3 linked regions of the Coturnix japonica genome follow. The protein of the gene in region 2 interacts with the protein of the main gene of each other region in a biochemical or structural test. Links are inferred from orthologs where the notes say so. Each region holds a gene or a part of one and is shown on either strand. Other genes may lie near its edges. The genes, in order: VEGFD, FLT4 and LRRK1.

What was found.
Region 1: the proteins of FLT4 (region 2) and VEGFD form a complex in vitro, tested with the Homo sapiens proteins (2 studies listed by BioGRID). The link is inferred for Coturnix japonica from reciprocal best matches to the Homo sapiens genes FLT4 and VEGFD.
Region 3: the proteins of FLT4 (region 2) and LRRK1 form a complex in vitro, tested with the Homo sapiens proteins (2 studies listed by BioGRID and IntAct, with this or other methods). The link is inferred for Coturnix japonica from reciprocal best matches to the Homo sapiens genes FLT4 and LRRK1.

Annotation. Positions count from the first base shown.
Region 1 is NC_029516.1:109,964,636-109,968,282, forward strand, and holds part of VEGFD (vascular endothelial growth factor D), read left to right. Parts: intron 1-1,078; coding exon 1,079-1,289; intron 1,290-3,647. UniProt on the Homo sapiens protein: Growth factor active in angiogenesis, lymphangiogenesis and endothelial cell growth, stimulating their proliferation and migration and also has effects on the permeability of blood vessels.
Region 2 is NC_029528.1:4,697,155-4,700,801, forward strand, and holds part of FLT4 (vascular endothelial growth factor receptor 3), read right to left. Parts: intron 3,448-3,647; coding exon 3,339-3,447; intron 2,658-3,338; coding exon 2,298-2,657; intron 2,083-2,297; coding exon 1,936-2,082; intron 1,361-1,935; coding exon 1,229-1,360; intron 980-1,228; coding exon 873-979; intron 615-872; coding exon 479-614; intron 1-478. UniProt on the Homo sapiens protein: Tyrosine-protein kinase that acts as a cell-surface receptor for VEGFC and VEGFD, and plays an essential role in adult lymphangiogenesis and in the development of the vascular network and the cardiovascular system during embryonic development.
Region 3 is NC_029525.1:15,837,454-15,841,635, reverse strand, and holds the start of LRRK1 (leucine-rich repeat serine/threonine-protein kinase 1), read right to left. Parts: upstream 2,918-4,182; 5' UTR 2,773-2,917; intron 2,591-2,772; exon of another isoform or gene 2,410-2,590; intron 316-2,409; 5' UTR 177-315; coding exon 110-176; intron 1-109.

The sequences.
Region 1 (3,647 bases), on a different chromosome or scaffold from region 2:
ATTTATTCCGAGTTAACTGCTTAGGGATTTTTAGGTCAGTGGAAGGTAATTATGCAAAAAATGAACTTGGCCAGAATGTACAAGTTAACATCTGTATCATTGCAAAATAAATGCCACAGATGTTTTAATAATGAATAACAGATGTGATTAGTGCCTAGGTTTTAAATCTCATCTAAAAATCTTCCTCTTGTAGGTAATTCTTCCCCTTACCTTTTCTCCAGCCTTATGCAGAAAACTAACTGGCTACTGGTTGGGACTGCAGGCTGCTGCCTACCTCATCACCAGCTTCTGTCTTTCGGCTTTGCCTTTAAGACATGGTGCATTATTTATGAGAGCTGGCAGAGCAGCCCTTAATTTGCAAGTCAAAAAGTACAGTCAACTGCATGAACAGAGAGCACAACTGAGAGCACCAGCCCAGTGCAATGCAGTCATGCACAATGATAACCTTTTGCTTGGGTTGAAGGCAATAGTTTTCTGCAGACTCAGTGAGTCATTGGAAATAAATACAAACTGTCTTAGTAAAGGCATAAACACAAATGCTGGAAGGCAGCAGTCAAATAATCAAGCACTGCTGTGGAGTGCTGTGCATTGTTTACCTTAAAAAGGTAAAGATTAACGACTTTAAACTAATGGAGTAGGCCTCTGTAAGGAATCTTCTACCATGGGACTAAAGAATGGTCATATACATCAAGAAGGCAGAAAATGAGTGACTGAGGTAACAGTGCTGCACAGCCAAACATGGAGACTGGAACTGAGGCCACCTTGTCTGCCCTGCATGGTAGGGTGGGAAATGAAATAGGTACCTTGCACTTTGCAGTTTGTTGAATGTTGTGTTTGCCCACCAGGTGGACAGGCCCTTCTACTCCGGGCAGCTTCTGGCTCTATCAACTTCTCTTGCAGTGATGTTTCCTGATAGACACCCATTTTGGCACCTGAGGTGACTTCAGGTGCCATCAGAAACCGGTAGCTGTTGTTCCAGCTTTTCTTAGCTGCTCTCAGCAATGTGCTGCCTCTTGCGTAAGAGCATCCAGAAGCTCTGTAAAGGTTCTGGATTTTTGATTTCCTCCTTTCCTTCCAGAGGACATCTCTGTCAGCATTGGAGCGGTCAGAGCAGCAGATCAGGAGAGCATCCAGCCTGGAAGAGCTCCTTCGAATAACTCATGCTGAGGACTGGAAGCTGTGGAAATGCAGGCTAAAACTCAAAAGCCTGGCCAATTTAGACTCCCGCTCTGCATCACATCGCTCCACCAGATTTGCTGCTGCTTTCTATGATATCGATACACTGAAAGGTAAGTGCAGGATTGCATTTGAGTCTAGCTCCAGCTTCAGGACCGCTGTATCTTATGCAGTAATGGGTTAAGTACCAGGGGTTTCCTAGAAGACACCTGCACTGGAAACAGCAGGATATTAATGGAAAATGACATTGTATGAAAAAATGTCAGGCAATGGCCTGAGTACATCTCCCTTTTTATGGCCAAATCAGGCTTATTGTACTGTATATTGTCCAAAGAAGAGTTCTGTTATGTATGGATCAATCAGTCCAAGGACAGACAGGAAATAAACATGCAAAGAGTGGTCTGGACTGATGGGCTGAGGGGCTTGCCAGCAGCACTGTGCCAGATCCAGGAATTTACTTGCAGTCAGAAACAAATGAGCTTTAAACAGGCATTGAAATTCCATTTATAATGAAGTGCACTCTGATCTAAGGCACTGCATCGGTACTAGTGTCTGGGTGGAAACTGGAGGGAGGAGCTATTGTCCTAATACTCTTACTCTGTTTGAGGAAATCTCCCTGGAGATAAGAAGTAGGCTTTGAAACTGCCAGTCAGTACCTAAGTCCAGGGAATCACAATCTTTTCCCTCTCTTGAAGCAAAAATGAATGCTGTTCCCTGTAAGTGAGAGAGAAGAAGGCCGTTATATGATCATTGATGTAAAATAAAGGATCAATTGCTCTGCTTCTGTCAAGGAGGTGGATATCCTACAGCAAAGCTACTCTGTAGCCTGGCCAAGTACTGACAAAGCTATTTTTTCTTTCAGTTTTGAATCTGAAGCTATATGACCATATCACTTTCCTTTGGGGAAATCAGATATTGCTGATTCTGTTCCAACATCACTATTGCAATAACCACAGCTATATTTGCACACCATTAGTGTCACTTTCATATCTATTACTTCTACATTTCAGTTAATTTATGGCAAAGCAAAGGCCTTAATTTGCTTCTCTAAGACATGGGACAGAAATACAGAGATGAATGCCAGTCTGAACATGGCTTTCATATGACAGGCATGGCTTTAAACTTCTAATAGAACATTTGTATTGAAAATAAAATAAAATAAAAATACACACATACACAAAAACAAAACAAAAGAGACCCTGCAACAGAAGAAAACAACATCCAATATACAAAGGAAGAACAGTTAAGAGGGCTTTAACTATTGACACGCTTTTCATTTTAACACCTTTACAAGTCTGTACATAAACATTAGGAACCGATGTTGTCAGAAGTAGTACCAATGGTCAAACACAATTTTTCTCTATTCACTGTTGCTCATTTAGTGAGCATCGGTATTTCTGGAGAAAAAAGAAAAAAATAATAATCCTTTTGTCAATACAGTGAAAAAACAAAGGATGTCGTAATAGGCTTTCTTCAGTGGCAGAATAATATAACTGTTTAGGTAATGTCAGACGCCTGTAGGCGTACAGATATAACTCTTTTATAACAACGTGGCACAGCTGTTAGGTCACTTCCTACTTTCTTTTTAAAGATCTAACTTTAGACACAGAGATGTCAGCCTATTGGGTCATCTTCTCCATTCCTTCATCCAAAGTGGAATTACTCCAGAACAGAAACGTCTTTGTTCTAATATCTTAATACATTCAAGGTACTAAAGCTCCTTACAAAAACAGAAAAAAAGCCCAAGAAAACAAAGCAAAGCCTACAAACTCGTAAACGTATATTTCTTTCCCATGCTCTTTCCAGTCAGTAAGCACTGACCCCCTTTGCCAAGGGCATCTGTTTTGTTTTAGTAAAGTGTTATGATGAGATGTCTGGGTCTAGGCTATTCACTGCTTCACTATTAGACCATCTCCCACAGCATCCCAGACTCCAGCCAGGGTGGAAGAGGTCAAAGCACAAGAAAAACTTCCTTCAGTATGTCTGCAGCAAAAAATAGGTTAGGGAAAATGTGGACCTGCTGCTGAAATGAGGTAGGAGCCCTGGTAATGAAGGACACTGAGAATGCCAGGTTATTGAACACCTTCTTTGTTTTGGTCTTTACTGCTAAGACAGGATTCTTGGGGATCCCAGACCTGGGAGATTAGAGAGAGCCTAGGGAAAGGAAGACTTCCTCTTGGTCAAGGAGGATCTGCTCAGGGGTCATTTAGGCAACCTTGATGGACACGAATTCATGGGCCTCAATGGAATGCACTCATGAGAGCTGAGGGAGCTGGCAGAAGTGATTGCCAAGCTGCTCTCTATCATCTTTGAAAGGTCATGGAGAATGGGAGAGAACTGGAGGAGAGCCTGTGACACTGCAGTCTTCAGAAAGGGCAAGGAGGAGGATCTGGTAAACTGCAGGGCAGTCAGTTCACCTCTGGCCCTGGAAGGTGATGGAAAAGCTTATTCTGGATGTCATCTCCAAACAA
Region 2 (3,647 bases):
AGAAGAAAGAAAAAGAGTCATAAAGGAAAAGGAAGGAGTGCAATATTTGCCCTTCCCAGGTGGCTGCTTGCTTTAGAGGTGAGAATAAGAGAAAGGATGAAGGGAGGAACTGAGAGCTGGCATGGACAAAGTGGAGGAAGGAAATGGTCCTAATGTGGTGAGAGGCTGTTTGTTGCCCTCAAACAGAACAAGTGGAAAAGGTAAATAAGACACCTTGCAGCAGAACAGACAGGGCTAATGTCACTGCTCTGTGTCTCAGAGGAGGTCTGCAGCCCTTACACCTCTCCCAGACAGAGGGAAGAGATTGCAGATGGATGTCACAGCACGAGGACATCCTATCCCAGTCCTGAACTCAGGATATCTCCTATGAATTGGGCTGTTTTGCCCTGATTGTGTAAGAAATCTGGAGGGTGAGTTCCAGGGGCTGGTGGGAAGCTCTGCATGCAGCACGTGGGGGCAGGGATGGGGTTCAGCTCACCCAGGCGCAGGCGGTCTCGTGGGAATTCCCACTTGCTGGCATCATAGGGCAGGCGCTCGCAGTGCTCATCTAAGGGCACTTCGTCAGGATCCATGATGATGGACAGGTAGCCGGTCTTGATGTCTGCATGGGCAGGCTGCAGGAATCACCCAACACAGTGCATGAGAAGATGCCTCCTTTGCCTCCTTCAACCCGCTTTCCCCTGGCAAAGGCTGTTCCATGTCCCCATCTTTACTACGTGCCCCATCCTTGGTTGACAGTCAGGGTGCTTGGAGCACTACTCAGCGACCTTCTTTCAGCAGACACTGTCACATAGCCCCACACCACAGCAATGGGGCTGCCCCAAGCCCATCTGAGCCCCCTCTTCTTCCCCAGAATGAAGACAACCACGTACCCTTTTGATGTTACAGAAGATGAGGATAAGGAGGATCCAGAAGAAAACAGCGATGACCCCAGTCCCAATCAGGATGACAATCTCCACGTTGGTCTTGTCATCAGAGCCTGTGGGGTGGGGGGAAAAGTGCAGTTTGAGAAAAGGCTTGGCTGTTTCTTGGGATCTGCTCCATGATGTGGGGAGACCAAGGAGCTGTGTGTTGACATGCTCCAATCAAATTATGCTCTGGACTACAGATGCTCTCAGTGCTTTCCCTGCCACCCTGCAGCCTGGCATCACAGGGAAGAGGCACGGGACCTCTGACACACCCCTACTTGGATGCTCTCATCCCTAGGGTGTGTTGTGTCTGCTGGTACCTTCTACAGAGACGCTAGCTGAGGAGTTCACGCAGCCCTTAGCGTTGCAGACGCTGCACAGGTAGAGCCCAGCATCCTCCTCCCTCACTCTCTGAATGCTCAGCCTCTGGTTGAAGTCTGCCAGATCAATTCCTGTAAGGCAAGGAAGGTTATGGAGGTCATTCAATAAGGAAAGGGGATTTAACTCGTTCAGGCAAAAAATAAGGCTTCTATTTTTTGGCCACTTCATTTTAGATGGCAGAATTAAATTGCACCAGCTCTCCTCTGTGGCTTATGGCTCCAGAACTACACTGGAAGGGCCTTCCTTAGGCAGTGTATGGAACAAAACCCGACAGACAAGGTTGGACTGGGAACAGTGCCTGGGTGCTCCAGCTGGTGTACCAAGCTCTGCTCTGCCTCCAGGACCTATTCCTTTCCCTCTGCCATATGCCTAGATCCTTCCCACATTCCTTCCATGGGATCTGAGTCAATCCCTGCATTAGCAGAGATGCCCGGCACTGAGCTGAGTGCAAGAAGAAAAAGGATTCAGCTCTCTTTGCTGCCCACCTGAATGTACATGTGCACACAACGTTGATCCAGACCCTAGGGCACAGACTTGTCCACTGAGAGCACATCAAACCAGGGCAGAACATGATTAAAAACAGGATTCAGCTCTCTTTTCACCAGACATGGTACCTTGCCTTTGTTCCATCCCCAGCCCAATGTACCTGACACTTCTTCCACCAGTTTCTCATCTTTGTACCAGCTGATGTCAGGAACGTGGTTGCCATCCACCTTACAACGCATCTCTATGGAATCGCTGACGTTCACCCAAATGTCTGTCAGGTTCTGCTTGAGGCGGGGGATCTCCAGGGCTGGAGGAGCAGCACAAAACGGATTGATCAAAAGAATATCTGCATTCGTGGGGGACTTTGTGTCTATAACCCATTATTGGAGGGTGTCTTGGGACCCAGGTGCCTTTGCCACCTCGAGTTTAGCTTGCATGGCTTCCCCCAGGAATGGACTGGGAAGCTGACTGCAGCAAGAGTACCAGCAGCAAGTCACTCCCACCTGCCCTGCTGACCCTCACCCTGCACAGAGATGTATTTCTTGTGGCAGTGTTTCTCCCGGGTCTTCCTGTTCTGCACCTCACACACGTAGTCTCCCTCCTCGCCCAGGGAGATGTTGGGGATGGTCAGCAGCAAGGTGGCATCATTGGAGTCGGGCTGAAAGCGCAGCTCGCCCTGCATCTTGGTTGCGTAGTGGTGGACGTTCTTGCAGTCCAGAACCAGGGGGTTGCCCTCCTCATCGTGGAGCTTGGAAAGGTTCAGGCGATACCACTGCAGATTCTCGTAGGTGTAGTTGTCCGCATTGCAGCTCAGCTGTAGGTCCTGCCCCTCTATGGGCTCTTCTGAGGGCTGGGATTCGATCTCAAATCCATCTGGAATGGCTTTTGGGAAGGAAATGAACACGTGGATGAGTTTTCTTGGCTTAGCTGCTGGATACAATTAAATTGACTCCTTGGGCTCAGCTCTCTGAGAACTCACTGTCCTCAGCCAGGGGTAAATGGAAACCACCCTGGAGCCTTTAACATGCAGGCTGCGAGCAACTGACAGCTGCAGCTGAGCTGATGCTAAGGGCTGTGCTGAAGCCTCGGAGTCAAATTAAGATGGGTCACAAGTGGAACAAGTCTAGGAGGTCTGAAAGTGGTTGTTCTCAGCTCACCCTGCCGGGCTTTGGCTTCTACAAACCTGGCTTTCTCCCACCACCAAAATCCAGCAGGGGCCATGCCAAGGGCTGGGGCCAGGACCCTGCCTGGGAGCAGGGCTGGCGGTGCCACTAGAGGATGCTCTTGGACCAGACACGTCCCCAGCCCAGCACGCTGCCTGGGCCAGCAGGACCTTCCACAGACACACCAGCTTATCTTCAGGTCTGTCTGCACGATTTGCTGCCAGAACTCCAAGCTTTTGTCACTCAGCAGAAATCTAGGGCAACCCTGCTTTCCTGATGGCTTCCTGGTCACTGTTTAAGGCACTAAGTGCGAATGATGGCACCTGGCAAATCTAGGGGCTGCTAGGTTCAGGCAAAGAGCCCAGGTGACGCTGGCAGAGGGGATGTCCCCAGTACTTACTTGTCACATAGAAGTAGATCAGCCGCTCATCTCGACCCACTTTGTTAGAGGCAATACATTTGTACATGGCTGAGACATTGGCCTCCTGGATGGCCAACTTGCTGACTGTCTGGTGGGGAAAGAGAGCAGCAGATGTTAGGAAGGGCAAAAGGGAAAAGTAGGTTTGGTGCTGCTATCTGGCAGACAGCCCTGTGCTGCGAGATGACTGCTCCATGGGCTCAGATGACCTGCTAGCACACCATTTATCCATAAGTGGAAATCAGACTCACAAAACCATCCTGGCTTTTACTACTTCACCCTATTATCTTC
Region 3 (4,182 bases), on a different chromosome or scaffold from region 2:
CATAGCAGGGGGGTTGAAACCAAATGATTCTCATGGTCATTTTCAACCCTTAATCCTGAATCCTCCCGCTCCCCATCTGTGCAGGTAGAGAAGCAAGTTGCCCCATTACCGTTCTGTGGCTCCATGTTGCTCTCTCTGGAAACAGCGGATTCCTCCGTCCCCACGCACCAGTACATTCTGGGTCTGAGTGGTGAGGATCCAACAGAGCAAACTTTCTGCAGCGCCTCCAACTGAGCGTGGTCAAAGCTGAACGTCAGCTAAATGCAGGGCAGAGCGGCCGCTACCAAATGCCGTCCTGATGGAGCATCGTTTACCCTGATTGGAAATCAACAGCAAAACAAATTAAATCATTCCGGTATTGATATTGCAAGCAGTGCATCCCCATGCACTCCAACACGGCTGAGAACATGCTGCTTTGAAGAAATACACTACACAAATATGAACGCAACGATTTTCATAATAGCTTCGTTAAGAGCGTAGCATGAATTAAGATGGGAAACAAACAACATCTCCTCTGCTGCTCCCAGTTTTCCTCCACCAAAGCAGCTGTGTCTGGGTGGAGGATATATGGGGTGGGCAAAGGGTCACAGTTGCAGCCCCACATTCCCCACAAGCCCTGTGAAGGCAGAGGGCTGAAACAATGAGACGCAGCTGGAAAAATCCTAAAGGCAACCTCAGAACCTTTCCCACCCACAATGACTGCAGCTCTGGTGTGAGAAGCTGGAAAACGCTGATGTCGACACTGAGAATCCTCTATAGAAAGAAGAGGGCTCAGAGAGACACAACAGCTTCCCTGCCCTCTTCTTTTAGTGAAGTCCAGTGCTCTCAAAACAGCTTCTTGAAGTGCATCCTGCATGCAAACCAAGCTTAGGAGCTCTCATGCTGGCTGCATATGGCTCAGGTGCCTTCCAGGGCATTTCTACCTTCTCACCTCTTCCAGTCTACACGCCTGTAACATTTTCTCCCTTTTTTTTTTCCCCCACACAAAACCCCTTTTCTTTATCCATAGAGATTAAAGGCTGACTTTGCAGTCGGTGCCCAGCTGACACCAGCGCTCCTTCATTTTCTGCTTTCAGTTTCAGTCTGCAAACGCATCTCAGATTCAACACAGCAACCTTTCTCACCTATTAGATCCCTATTAGATTTTCTCACGTCTGCTGTGCAGTGCCGAGGTTTGGACCAGAAGCTCTGACTGAACAAAATACACGACGCACCTCCTGGTTTGGTAAGCAGGGCCCAGGTGTGTGAGTGGCTTCCTGAGCTGGGGATGGGGTCACTGATCCACCACCACCACCCTAAAGCTGCCCGCTCCTTCCTCACTGCACACACAGCACTTTAACCACAAACCAAGTGTTAAAAAAAAGACCTCACTGAATGCTTCATCAGCTGTTTCCAGGCAAGGGTTTGAGTTTTAGGTGCACTTATGGCAAAACTCGGCTTCTGCTGATCCCTATTTTATGGTGCCTGGCAGTGGGATGCACAGCTCAGAGCTGGGCAATGGGCGAAGCCACATACTGCAGTTTGGTGCTTGGGAGCTTCTCAAAGATGGGAAAATTGATTTGGGTGATCACAAGAAAAGAGGGAAGGGCTGCATGGAGGCACCTGCACACCCACCCCACAGCTGAACCATTTTACAGCCCTAACTCCAAATGGACACAGGTGTGCAGACACAGCCCTGCATCACGGCCTCCATTCATCAGAATGCAGCCCCAGCACCTGGAAGGGGCTGAGTAAGGAAACTTTCACTTGGGGGTGTGAATATATGCTCTTCATATACAGCAAAAGGAAAAGCAATAGCACAATTTCAATCACTAGTTCCCTTTAGCTGCAGCTATGGCAGCGAGTGTTGAGCTGTCAGTGCGCCGCTGTATTTCCGTATTTCAGGGCCTCTGTGTCTATTAAAAACACCCCCACAGCGCTTCTACCTTAACCAAGACGTGCCCAGCTGTAACACGTGCAAATACCGCGTGTGGATTTGATGTAAGGAGAGAGAACGGTGCCGTGTGGGTCCACTGAGCTCCGCAAGAGCACGAGAGCACACAGCCGGGGGAGGGCTGCAATGCCATCACATGTATTCCCAGCCTCTCTCCTGGGACGCCGTCACCGCGTTTTGCTACGGTGCAGCCCCACGGGAAAAGCACGACGGAAAGGGAGAAGCGAAGGCGCTTCGTGCGTCCAACTGAGCAGGAAACGGGACCATCGATCCCAGCCAGCTCCCGTCTGCCGCCCCCCCCTCCGAGCACACGCAGCGCCCGCCGCCCCCTCTCGCTCCGCAACTTCGCTCCCAACTTTCTTTCTGAAGCTCGTTCCCCGCTTCTCTCCGCATTTTAAGTCCCCTCCCCCCCCCCATCCCCACCGCTTCCACCCGCCCCGCAGCCGGGGTTGCGCTGTGCCACGGGCAGCTGTTACCTCCTGCGTCCCGGGGCTGCCGGCTCTCCGGGGCCACCTCCTCCTCCTTCGCCCGCCTGGCTGTGCGGCGGGGGAGGCGGAGGGAGGAAGAAAGGAAAAGGAGCGGGGCAGCCGCGCGGCGCCTCCTCCACCACCGGCCCCGGCTGGGCCCGCCCGGGAGCCGCGGTCAGGGCGCGGTCGGAGCCGCGTCTCGCCTGGAACCCCGGCGGCTGCTCGGGGCGGTCCGGTCGGCAGCGCCTCTCAGCGCCCTTCCCCGCCGTGGGGCGCAGAGGGGACCGCGGGGCTGCCCCTGTGCCGGGCTCGTTCCCCACGTCCATCATTCGGTGTCCGCCCTCTCCCTCGGTTCGCCCTACTCGTGCTTACACCGCTTTAGTTTTGCGCGTTCTTATTCGGCAAACATTGGACGGCACAAGGGCCGCACCGCCATCTCTCAGCCGCGCGGGTGCTTCGCTGCTCGGATCCGTGCCCTGAAGCCCGGCCCAAGCCGAGCTCTGTTTTCTGAAGGCTGCTCCTTCCCCGGATCCCGGAGCTGCTCCTCCGGATAAACACAGCAGCATCGCCCCCTGCCTCCCGTCGGGCCGCAACCAACACGAGCGGTGCGCGCATCCCTGCCCACCGCAGCGCCCTGTACCGATATACGGCTGTATCATCCCCACCCCACGGACCTTGTGAAGGGAACGCGTTTCGGCGTGACTTATGTTATCCATAACGCTCCCTTCAACGACACAGGTCGTTCCCTGGACTTAAATCAAGAGATGGGGCTCTTGAGGATGGAAAAAGCCACACCCGTAGCTGCTGCTGCCTGAGGTTTGTTCTGCAGCGCTTTTCTCGCTGTGATTACGGAGTCACAGAGAAGCTGGATCCTCACAGGTGCTTTAAAGGGTGTTCAGACGGCCGTTAATCTGCATCTGGCTGCAGCCACCTGTTGGACACACTCTGCACTTTCTATCGCGTCTGCTGCCTTTTATGCCTCACGCTCTGGTTCTTAGACAGGCCCTTCTTATACTTTTCTTTTTGGCACCATTGTTTGGAATAAGAATAAAATCTCAGATCACAGTTTGTTTTGAGAGAGGCCACAATTTCCCTTAGCACGAATTTCTTCATCTTTTTTTTTTTCCTTTTCCAAATCTCATCCTGCTCTTCCTCCTGACTTTACTCATAACTCCATTGCTTACATCACTCTGTCCCTCTGTATCTCCGTGCTTCTCCCTTCTCACATTCGGCTGCAGAGCTCCCGAGTGATGCTGCTGCAGAGTGGAAAATGGATGGGATTTGGCTGTGTGTGTGTAGGGAGGTGGTGGCTGTTTGTATCTCTTCTCACCTGGTTTAGTGGTTGGTGACCCTGCCTGTGGCAGAGGGGTTGGAACTACATGATCTTTAAGGTCCTGTTCTACCCAGGCCATTCTATGCAAAGAGCGTTAAAAACGGTGCTATGTTCTTGCTCTGTCTCCTCTGCAGATAAAGGAGATAAGACAGGAATGTCTCATCATGGGGCAGTCATACAACAGTGGCTGTGTCTAAGAGGGTTTCACGAAGCCCCGTCTGGCAGCATGTTCTGCATGAAGCCTTAACCCCTTCCAGTGTGCAGGCAATAGAAGTTTCCCATTCCCATTCCTTCCTTGGAGCCACATCGATATGCAGCACACAGAAACTATTTCACAAAGTTCAACATTTATTAGGAACTATGACAAAAAAGATACCCATAGTCTAAAATATATACAAGAAGTTTAAACATAGCATTTTCATGTACCCTTGGCTATAAAAATACATTAG